3 linked regions of the Oryctolagus cuniculus genome follow. Each later gene encodes a partner of the first gene's protein in a complex. Links are inferred from orthologs where the notes say so. Each region holds a gene or a part of one and is shown in the gene's direction. Other genes may lie near its edges. The genes, in order: TADA2A, YEATS2 and TAF12.

Region 1 (3,649 bases):
TTTGGAGTTATCAAATTACAGACATCTTATGTCTGTGACTTAAAATATCAAGAACAAACCACTTTGACAGTTATGTATGAATGAAAGTATTGCTTCCTTCTCTCCTTTCTAAAGGCAAGATGTTGCCAATCAGATGTGCACCAAGACAAAGGAAGAGTGTGAGAAGCACTATATGAAGCATTTCATCAATAACCCTCTGTTTGCATCTACCCTGCTAAACCTGAAACAAGCAGAGGAGGCAAAAACTGCTGACACGGCCATTCCATTTCACTGTAAGTGCCTCCCTGGTTTGGTAAGAGATGCTTAGCACATTGCTGGGCCCTGTATGAACAGTGATTGGAACAGTTAAAGAGTATGTGGAATAAAGGGGGAGTTGGCATGGGAGCTCTTGAGTCAGGGTTATAATGTGGCAGAGAGGGACTGGTGCTGTGGCACAGTGGGTTAAGCTGCCGTCTGTAGTGCCGTCATCCCATGTGGGCAGCAGTTCTAGTCCCAGCTACTCCACTTCTCATCCAGCTCCCTACCAATGTCTCTGGGAAGCGGTGAAAAATGACCCAGGTCCCTGGGACCCTGTACCTACATGGGAGAAGACCTGGAAGAAGCTCCTGGTTCCTGGCTTCAGCCTTCAGACTGGCACATCCCTGACCTTTGGAGCCATTTGGGGAGTGAACCAATAGATGGAAAATTTCTCTCTCTCTGTCACTTGTTCTCCCTCTCTGTAATTCTGCCTTTCAAATAAATAAACCTAAAAAAATGTATATAATGTGGCAAAGAAGGAACATCTCTCAGGGGTCAGAGTTCTTACTGGACATCTGGGAACCCGAAACCAGTGTGTAGTTGGGCCCTCTCTGAGTCTCTTGAACATAGCAATTAATTTTAGTGCTTGCTTCTGTAAGATGAGATGTGAAAAAGGGACCAACCTTTCCATGCTGTGGTGAGTAGAAGCCTTTAGCAATCCCTTAGGAGGGTTTATTATCTTTTTTTTTTTTTTAAGATTTTATTTATTTATTTGAGAGGTAGAGTTACAGATAGTGAGAGTTAGAGACAGTGAGAAAGGTCTTCCCTTCGTTGGTTCACTCCCCAAAAGACTGCAACGGCTGAAGCTGTGCCAATCCAAAGTTGGGAGCCAGGAGTTTCTTCCGGATCTCCCACGTGGGTACAGGGGCCCAAGGACTTGGGCCATCTTCTACGGCTTTCCCAGGACATAGCAGAGAGCAGGATCAGAAGAGGAGCAGCCAGGATTAGAACCGGCACCCCTATGGGATGCTGGTGTTGCAGGCAAAGGATTAACCTACGACGCCATGACGCCAGCCCCTATCTTTTTTATTTTTATTTTTTTTAAGATTTATTTATTTTGCCGGTGCCATGGTTCACTAGGCTAATCCTCCACCTGGGGCACTGGTTCTGTGCCGGTTGCTCCTCTTCCAGTCCAGCTCTCTGCTGTGGTCCAGGAGTGCAGTGGAGGATGGCCCAAGTCCTTGGGCCCTGCACCTGCATGGGAGACCAGGAAGAAGCACCTGGCTCCTGGCTTCGGATTGACGCAGGTAGCGGCCACTTGCGGGGTGAACCAACGGAAAAAGGGAGATCTTTCTCTTTGTCTCTCTCTCTCTCTCTGTCTAACTCTGCCTGTCCAAAAAAAGGATTTATTTATTTTATTTGAAAGGCAGAGTTACAGAGAAGCAGAGGCAGAGAGAGAGAGAGAAAGGTCTTCCATCCACTGGTTCACTCCCCAAATGGCTGCAGCTCCCGATGGTGTGCTAATCCAAAGCCAGGAGCCAGGAGCTTCTTCCAACATGGGTGCAGGTGCCCAAGGACTTGGGCCGTCTTCCACTGCTTTGCCAGGCAATAGCAGAGAGCTGGATTGGAAGTGGAGCAGCCCAGACTCGAACCAGCGTTCATTTGGGATGCCAGCATTGCAGGCGGTGGCTCTAACCTCTATGCCACAATGCCAGCCCCGAGTTTATCATCTTCAATGAGTTGCTTAGAGAGTCTAGTGCTTGGGTGATTACTAATTGCCTTAGTGTCAAGTTCAAGGAGCAGTTTATCATTTTTGTTCACTTGGTTTTAGCAATGATGTCAGACTTTTAATCTCACAGACCTGTGGGACTAGTGGGTCTTTATAAACCATCTCAAAACATGATGAATTACAAATGTGCATCTTTCCTGAATGACTCCCAGAGCACAAGTCATGAGATATGAATGTCTTCACGTCTCCCTTCCCTTCCTCAGACTCCATAGACTTAGTTGTGTACCTGGCTAGCTCAGAGGCAGAGGATACTGCCTACTTGGATAGCACTCCTCTCAAATCTATTGGGCCATTTGTTCCCAGCTACAGCCCAGTGAGATGACCAGGGCAAGTGTTTTCGTTTTACACAGGAAAAATTCAGGTTCAGAAGGATTAAATAATTTGTGCAAGATCATGGTACTGTTGGGTGGCAGAGCTGGGACTCCATTCCAGCCAACCTCCAGATCAAGTGGGTTTTTTGGCTTCTCAGTTGATGAGGCTCTTAAATTGAGATTGGCACCAAGGGGTAAGGGATCTGAAGCTGACAAGGATCTTGTGTCCGTTCATTTTAGGAAAGTAGAATCAGAGGAAGTTTTCCCATTTTTATTCAGAGGGTTCCGTAAGTCCTATTTCCTAGTCTGAGGAATCAGCTAGTTTCCATAGTGCTTTATTATCTTTTTCATTTTTCCTTTTATTTTTTTAATTTATTTATTCTCTCAGATACTGTCTTTGTCCATACAAAAGTGTTTCAGAGTGTAAATAAGGACTGTTTTGTGTCACTTCTTCCTGTCAGTACTCTGTTAGTCAATGAGACAAACTCTGAATCTTCCAGCTGCAGATGACCCACCTCGACCCACCTTTGACTCCTTGCTTTCTCGGGACATGGCAGGATACATGCCAGCTCGAGCAGATTTCATTGAGGTAGGAAACACCTGGTTTTGTTTTTGATGTTTGCTGGAGCTCTTGCCTATGGAATCCATACCACCTGAAAGAGATGTGTAAAACAGTTCATTTGTCAAGCTCTTAGGAAGACACAGTTTCTTCCATTTGAGTTCTTTTTCTCATTTGTAAACATTTGCACTAGTAGAACAGTAAAAGTTTTAAATTGTATTGGTTCTGGCTCATTGTTCCTTTGAATTTATGGAGTTTTCTGCAGTATTTCTCACGTCATACTAGCGGGTTTCAAGGTTGTACTGTATTAGGAGTTGGCAGACTTTTCCTATTATAGGCCAGATAGTAAATATTTTAGGTTTTTCAGGTCTTAGTTTCCGTTGCAACTAAACTTTGCTGTCACTGTGCATAAGCAGTGTGGATAATATTGTGTTCCAATAAACTTTATATGTGGCCAGTGCTGTGGCTCACTTGGCTAATCCTCCGCCTGCGGCGCCGGCACCCCTGGTTCTAGTCCCGGTTGGGGCACCGGGTACTAGTCCCGGTTGCTCCTCTTCCAGTTCAGCTCTCTGCTGTGGGCCGGGAGGGCAGTGGAGGATGGCCCAAGTGCTTGGGTCCCTGCACCCACATGGGAGACCGGGAAGAACCTGGCTCCTGGCTTCAGATCGGCGCAGCTCCAGCTGTGGCAGCCATTAGGGGGGTGAACCAACAGAAGGAAGATCTTTCTCTCTGTCTTTCTTTCACTGTCTATAA
Region 2 (3,749 bases), on another chromosome or scaffold:
AGTTAGATTAAGTTTCCCGGTCAAGTGATAATTAGGCTGAAAATGTCATAAGGGCAGGAGCCTGTTTTACCCACCTCTGTTTGCTCAGTGCCTAACATAGTGCTTGAAATGCGGAATAGAAATGCAACCAAAATCTGTTGAACAAATATTGTTCATCTATTTTTATCCCTAATAGAAGGCCAGAGGTGACGTAATATAAACTCCTCTTTTGCCCCGTCATGCCGGGCTTGGGAGTTAGTTCTTGTCCCTCCAATTCATATATTGGACAAAGAGTTTTTGAGCACATACGATGTGCAATGCACTGAGCTTGTTATTGGGGACACAGGAGTAAATCCTAAACTTCAAATACTTCAGCATATGATAATATGGATAGAGTGTAAAAAATTCATAAAGTTTTTGCCCTACAATCACCACTAAACTCTAGTGGTAAATGTTTACAGTGCCTGGAAGGCATGGGGGAGAAGGACGAAACAGGTAGTCCCTGGAGACCAGCTGGGAGGCGACTGAAGGCTTGGGCAGAGACATGGTGGTGTCTTGGGTAGGGTAGTAAGCACAAGCAAAGAGAAGACTGGCCTCAAGGGTTATTTAGGGGGACAGCGACTTCCTGGATTGTCACTAACTAGCTCTGTGACCTAGAAAGGACATAATTGCCAGCCTCAGCTTCCGTATCTATGAAACGGGTTAGTAATAGCTGTTTGCATCCCTCCCTCAGAGGTTGCCAAGAGAAGGCACACACGAAAATCAGTCACTGTTGTTATTACCATGGAAGTTCATAAATGCCGGCAGAATGAACACTCTATTAAGCCTGGGTCTGGGATGCGCCATCTTTTTAGCAGGAAAATGATGAATGACAGTGCCTTTGCCAAAACCAACGCCCGCAACCCCAGGCAGCTGGGCCACGCAGCCCAGAGTCAGAGCCCGGGCAGCGCCGCCCCGCCCCCATCCCCGCAAGTCCCGCCCCCGCCCCACCCACGTTTCTGCGAGCTCCGCCCTGGGCCTCCGCGCGCGCGCGCTCGCGCGCCGCCACTGCCGCCCTCGCGCGCGCGCCCCGGACCGCCCCTACAGCTGACGTGCGGGGCGGAACGGACCGGGAGAGCTCCTCCGAGCTGTGTGCTTCCGCGGGCTGCGGGGTCTCCGGGGCCTCGTGGCGGGCCGCCGTTGCGGGGCTTCTTCTGTTCCCTCACCTCCCTGTGCCCGCTCCCGGAGCGGGGCGGGGCCTGCGCCGTCGCTGGGAACCAGCAGAAGGGTGAGTGTTGGCGGGAGCGGGATGGGGCCGGTCGGGCGCGCGCCCCGCTCTCCGGGGCATTGTCTGGGCGGGGGTGGCGCGGGCACGTGCGCGCCCCTCCCCCATCCCGCGGGCCGCGGCTGCGGAGGCCGGACCCGGCGAGCCCGGGGCGGAGGAAGGGGGCAGGGAGGGAGCTGGTGGCTGCCGGGAGCAGTGAATCGCGAGGAGCCGGCTGGGGCGGCGTGTCTGGAGCGTCGGAGGCGGGAACCGGAACGCGGACTGAGGGGGCTCCTTTCAAAAGGACCGGCGCTCTCTGAGGGGGCGGGGGACGGCCCCGGAGACGCGGTGGCCCGCGCTTTTGGGGCGTTCCGCCTGGCGGTCTGCCCATGGTATTGAAGACAGATGTGAAGATCTGGCCCCGGCCCCAGCAAGTTGTGGGTTTAGCAAAAGAATGTTGGAATGTGCCTCGGAGCTGCGTCCGCCACCCCCGCCCGCGCCGCGGCCAGGTGGGATTGAGCGCGGCTGGGGGGCTGTGCTGGGCTGGCGGTGAGGGCCGAGGGGCCCCGGAGAGATGGACTTTATAACAGCCCCCCACCCCCGTTATGGTTGTAATTATGTTACAAAATGAGAAGTAGAGGCGGAAAAATACCATTGGTATTTCTCCAGCTCTGACCAGCCGTTCGTAGAGTTAGGATACATGTTTGCGAGTGTTTGCATCTGAACAGGTTTCTTAACCATTAGAGTGGATCCACACTTTCTGTTCCCTTTTCTCGGTAACATATAGAAAATGCGATGGGATAGTCCATATTTTCAGCAATATCATTTCCCCTTAATAGGTAGCAAGTGTTTATCATAGAAAAATTTAAAATACAGACAAGCAAAGTGAGGGAAAAGTACCGCTGATTTTCCTGACTAGAGATACTGCCACTGAGTGTGTATTTTTGGTTGTGGATATCTTTCTCAAAGATAGTGGTTAGTAGTTCAGTGCTCCTGGGAAGGCTTTGAAGATTACAGGTAGGTGGGTAGCATCGTTGGTAGACTGGGTGGAGGAGGAGGCAAGGGTGGAAGATCGGAGATCCTTTAAGTTGCTGTTTGCTGTATCTTTGGCCTAGGCCTATGGCATTGGAGGTGGACGAGGATTAAAAGGATTGAACAATACTTTGGTGGTAGAATGTAGAAGACTTGGAGATGAATTGGTGAGGGAAAGGGAGGAATCTTTGCTGTTTTGATTTTGGTTTTGAACAGCTGATGCACCATTTACTGAGATGAGAAAGAAAAAGGCAAACTTTTTAAAGATTTTTTTTATTTGAAAAGCAGAGTGAGAGAGAGAACTCTTCCATCCACTGGGCCACTTCCCCAGGGCCCTAGGCTAGGCTAGGCCAGGCTGAAGCCAGGAACCAGGAGCTCCATCTTGAGCTCCCCTGTGGGTGGCCAGGGCTCAAGCAGTTGGGCCATCATCTGCATCAATAGGGGGGAGCTGGATTAGAAGCGCAGCAGCTGGGATATGATATGGGATCCCAGTGTCAACAGCAGCAGCATAACCCTGTGGCACCACAACGCTGGCCCAGTGAGAGAAATTTCAGATGGTAAAAATGATGACTTCTGTTTCAGATGTGTTGAATTTGAGGTGCAGGGGTGGGCATTTGACCTAGTGGTTCAGTTGCCAGTTAGGATGTTTATGTCCCACATCAGGGTTCCTGAGTTAGATTCCCAGCTCCAGCTCCTGACATCAGCTTTCTGCTGATGTGGACTGTGGGAGGTAGCAGTGATGGCACAAGCAATTGGGGCCCAGTCACCCATATGGGAGACCTGAGTTGAGATCCTGTATCCTGGCTTTCAGGCTCCTGGTTTCCTGTTTGGCCTAGCCTGGGCCATTGGTAGGCATTTGATGGGTGAACCAGCAGATGGGGGGCAGGAGGGGGCATCCCATAGGCTCACTCTGTCCCTCTCAAATAAATAAAAATAATAGAAAATTTGGGTTGCATATTAGTTATGGGGTATGTTGAAGCAGTTAGATGTGTGTGTGTGTAGAATATGGGGAATTGTAGAGCTAGAGATAAAATTTTAGAAATAATCAAAATATGGATGCCATTTAGAGGTATGGGACTAGTAAGATCACTTATGGAAAGAATGCAGAAAGAAGTGAAAAGGATTAACTGAAATTCTTTTGGGTCTGGTAGAGGAAGAAGGTTGAACCTGGGACCCAAGAAACAGCCAGTGAGTTAAGAGAAAAAGAAGGAGCATAGTGTCATGAAGCCAAGAGAGGGGTATGTTTCTGGAAGACGGAGAATTAGTCCTCTTATTGGTGGCTGAGATGTGTATTAAATGGAATTGACAACATGGAGGTTATTGTTTGGTTATTGGTATGCTGTCCACAGTTCTAGAAGTGGGAAGTGGAAAGCAGATTACTGTAGTTCAACAGGGATGTGAGAGTGAAAACAGTAAATTAGAAAAAGTGTTCGCCAGGGCCTGCATTGTGGTATGTCCCATTTTGGAGTACCAGTTTGAATCTAGACTTCACTGC
Region 3 (3,649 bases), on another chromosome or scaffold:
CACCCATATGGATTGCTGGCACTGCAGGTAGTGGCTTTACCTGCTATGCCACAGTGCTGGCCCCACACTTAAATTTCTTACTGTTTGTTGAAAGTGACCACCATTGGAGCTTTTCCTTAAGGTTCTTAATTTGTTATGTGATTTTTCATATTTGGTACTATGTAGATAGTCCATATTTTTCATCTTGAGGTCTAATAACAGGAATTCCCATTATACAAAAATTTCTATTACAGGGGCCAGAGTTGTGGTACAGTGGGTTAAGCCACTACTGGTGACATCTGCATCCCATATTAAAGTGCCTATTCAAGTCCTGACTACTCTGCTTCCCATTCAGCTTCATGCTAGTGTGCCTGCAGAGGCAGCAGAAGATGGCCCAAGTACTTGGGACCCTGTAAACCATGAGGGACACCAGAATGGAGCTCCTGGTACCTAGCTTTTGCTCTACCCAGCCCTGCCTGTTGTTGTGGCAATTTGGATAGTGAACCAGCAGATGGAAGATCTCTCTGTCTCTCCCTTCTCTGTCACTCTGCCTTTCAAATAAATAAATCTAAAAAAATAAACTCCCCTCCTCTGTGAAGCCTTCCTTGACTTTCCTCTGCCAGAAGGCCATGTGTCTTCACGTAAATTATCATTTTTTATAAAAAAGCTATTTTCTAAAAAAAAAAACTGCATTGCAAAAAAAAATCCACTTATTCTGAGCAATACTCAGTACTGTTTGGGAAATCCCTTAAAGATTGTGGGAAAGTTATTTGAGAGGTATAATTTCTTCAGTGTAAGGCTAGAGTGATGAGGATAGAGTCTGATAATCTTTTCTTTATTGAAGTTTATTTATTTAAAAGTTAGAGTTACATAAATGGAAAAAGAGAGAGAGAATCTTCTATCCTCTGGTTCACTTCCCAAGTAGCCACAATATTCAAGCTGAAGCCAGGAGTCTGGAACTACATCCAGGTCTCCCACATGGGTAGCTGGGGCACAAGCACTGGGACCATCTTCTGCTAGTTTCCCAGACTCATTAGCAGGGAGTTGGATTGGAAGTGGAGCAGCCAGGACTCAAATTGGCATCCATATGGGATGCTGTCATCACAGGTGACAGCTTAACCAACTGTACCACAGCTGGTCCCTCTGGTAATCTTTAATAAGGTTTTTGCACAGAAGTTGCTCTGGGAAAAATAATATTAGAACAACTATTACCGCATCAACAATCTTCTATCCCGACTCTTCCGTGAATAATATTAATGACTAGAGAGCAAAGAGGCATGAGCCATACAAAGTTGAAAAAAAGAAAAATGATCCTGATGCTTTGCTGTTCCCATCAGCTGGTTTTTGGCTAACAAGTCAGTCTTGCTTCCCTAGGTTGCTTAGCCAGTTTGTTGTTCGTATCCTTTATTAGGAGTAAACCAGAAGAACATGATTTCTCACGAGAAATCACAAGGAACTCTGAGGGGCTAGAGTGGAATAGATACAGATAGACTTGCAGGTTGCCAAGCTTTGCCATGCTCTGAAAGCTATTGACATAATTCCTGCAAGTTCAAATCACACAATTTTGCCTTAAAAAGTATCTCCTATACATAACATGTTATCTTTAACAGTAGAACATTCATCTGATAGGAAGATAATCTGTATATGCTATAATCATTAACTTTTTTGAAGATTTGCTTATTTGAAAGGCAGAGTTACAAAGAGGCAGAGGCAGAAAAAGAGATTTTCCATCCACTAGTTCAATCCCTAAATGGCCGCGATGGCCAGGGCTGAGCCAGGCTGAAGCCAAGAGCCAGGAGCTCCTTCCGGGTCTCACATGTGGGTGCAGGGGCCCACGTACTTGGGCCATCTTATGCTGCTTTCTCAGGCACATTAGCAGGGAGCTTGATTGGAAGTAGAGCAGCTGGGACTCAAACCAGCATCCATATGGGATGCCGGTGCTACAGGTGGTAGCTTTACCTGCTAAGCCATAGCGCCAGCCTTCATTAATTAATTTTTAAAATGGTTTGAATGAGTTGGAGATGTTTTTCTTGGCACTCAGTAGGAACAAGAAGGTAATGTTTGAACACCATTTATTTGGGTCCTAGTTGGTGAAGATGTGCCAGGCCATGCCGCTGAAATGGTTCAATGGCAAAGGTGATACCTGATGCTAGTTGTTCATTTACAGGTAGCTTTTGAAAATGGCTGCCTCTCATTTCACCGGGCTCACAGCTGTTGCTGATGTAATTAAAGATCTAGACACTCAGATAGCTGTAAGTAAGCTCCTGAGGACTCTGTGGGTAGAACTTTGTGAATGTGCTTCTGATTCCAGCGATAGCAAGCTGATGTCCACAGAGTTGATCACATGGCTCTAAGATAGGAGTCTTGGCTGCTTCAGGCTAGGGTTACTGCATGCACGTAAAGATTTCTAACACTTACAGAGAAGTTGCTCATATTGATAAAGAAGTATTTACTTTAACAGTTGCTAAAAGCTGCATTTATTGCGTATAACCTTGACATAGATTTAAGTATGTTTTGAAATACCAAAATAAACTAATCTGTTTTCTTAAACTCTGTGACTGGGTTTTAAGTATGTGATTGTGACATGACTTACTTGCATTTAATGTTGATACATGTGGTACTTAATGCATGTGATACTTAAGCAACTACTGTTTTTTATAAAGTCCTCAAAAGTGTATTGCTTATTTTAGTTTGTTTTTATTCATAAGATTCCTCATTTCATTTACTTTCTTCCTTATTTTGATTTTGTGGACTATTTCATTTAGCTTTTGGAGAAGAGATGGTTTCTAAATATCAGGTGAGAGCAATGAATAGTCTTTATTCCTCCATTTCTAACATGTAGGTATTCCAGAGACACTGAAGACCCTCAATATCAGACCTCATAAAATTTTACTTTCAAAACATCCTTATTCCATGTGCTTCTAGAGCTAATTCTCATGTTTTCCTTCTCCAGTTGATTGGCCTTGGTCCTCACAGCTCCAAAAAGAAACAAGATCTTGATAAGCTCTATGAGCTGAAGTCCAAAGCTCGGCAGATTATGAACCAGTTTGGTCCCTCAGCCCTAATCAACCTCTCCAATTTCTCATCCATAAAACCGGAACCAGCCAGCACCCCTCCACAAGGATCCATGGCCAATAGCACTACAGTGGTAAAAATACCAGGCACTCCTGGGACAGGAGGTCGTCTTAGCCCTGAAAACAATCAGGTATCATCCTCTTCCATTTTGTTCTCTGTAAGCACCTCTTACCTGTTACTGGAACTGGGAATGCTTTAAGAGATGTCCATCTCAGATACTGCCTCTTCCTCTGAGCTGAAAAGGCCTCTTCCCTCCTCTGAAATTGAAACATTCTTTATCATTTATCCAACATAGTGTTTATCTGTTTTTACTTTGTGTTATGTATGGTTGTGCACATGCACTTATACATCCATCCATACATACATATCAACACAACACTTTTTCGGGTGTTTTTAATATTTATGTTAGCTACATAGCTGTTAAATAAAAGAAATGGGCTTCTTATTCCTATGATAAAAGTAACTTTGCCTTCAGTCATTCATTCTTGTTTATCCAGATGCTGCCATTATTAATTTTATTCAGTGATTATAAAATCTGTTCCTGTCTTTGAACTGAAGATCCTGATTCTGCCCTTCACAGCCATAAGAAATAGAT

The links.
Region 2: TADA2A (region 1) and YEATS2 share a complex: the UniProt entries of both Homo sapiens proteins name them as parts of the ADA2A-containing complex. The link is inferred for Oryctolagus cuniculus from reciprocal best matches to the Homo sapiens genes TADA2A and YEATS2.
Region 3: TADA2A (region 1) and TAF12 share a complex: the UniProt entries of both Homo sapiens proteins name them as parts of the PCAF complex. The link is inferred for Oryctolagus cuniculus from reciprocal best matches to the Homo sapiens genes TADA2A and TAF12.

Annotation. Positions count from the first base shown.
Region 1 is NC_091448.1:38,154,150-38,157,798, forward strand, and holds part of TADA2A (transcriptional adapter 2-alpha), read left to right. Parts: intron 1-114; coding exon 115-272; intron 273-2,837; coding exon 2,838-2,926; intron 2,927-3,649. UniProt on the Homo sapiens protein: Component of the ATAC complex, a complex with histone acetyltransferase activity on histones H3 and H4. Required for the function of some acidic activation domains, which activate transcription from a distant site. Binds double-stranded DNA.
Region 2 is NC_091435.1:93,304,486-93,308,234, forward strand, and holds the start of YEATS2 (YEATS domain-containing protein 2), read left to right. Parts: upstream 1-1,537; 5' UTR 1,538-1,676; coding exon 1,677-1,731; intron 1,732-3,749. UniProt on the Homo sapiens protein: Chromatin reader component of the ATAC complex, a complex with histone acetyltransferase activity on histones H3 and H4. YEATS2 specifically recognizes and binds histone H3 crotonylated at 'Lys-27' (H3K27cr).
Region 3 is NC_091438.1:143,068,448-143,072,096, forward strand, and holds part of TAF12 (transcription initiation factor TFIID subunit 12), read left to right. Parts: intron 1-2,146; 5' UTR 2,147-2,159; coding exon 2,160-2,231; intron 2,232-2,932; coding exon 2,933-3,184; intron 3,185-3,649. UniProt on the Homo sapiens protein: The TFIID basal transcription factor complex plays a major role in the initiation of RNA polymerase II (Pol II)-dependent transcription.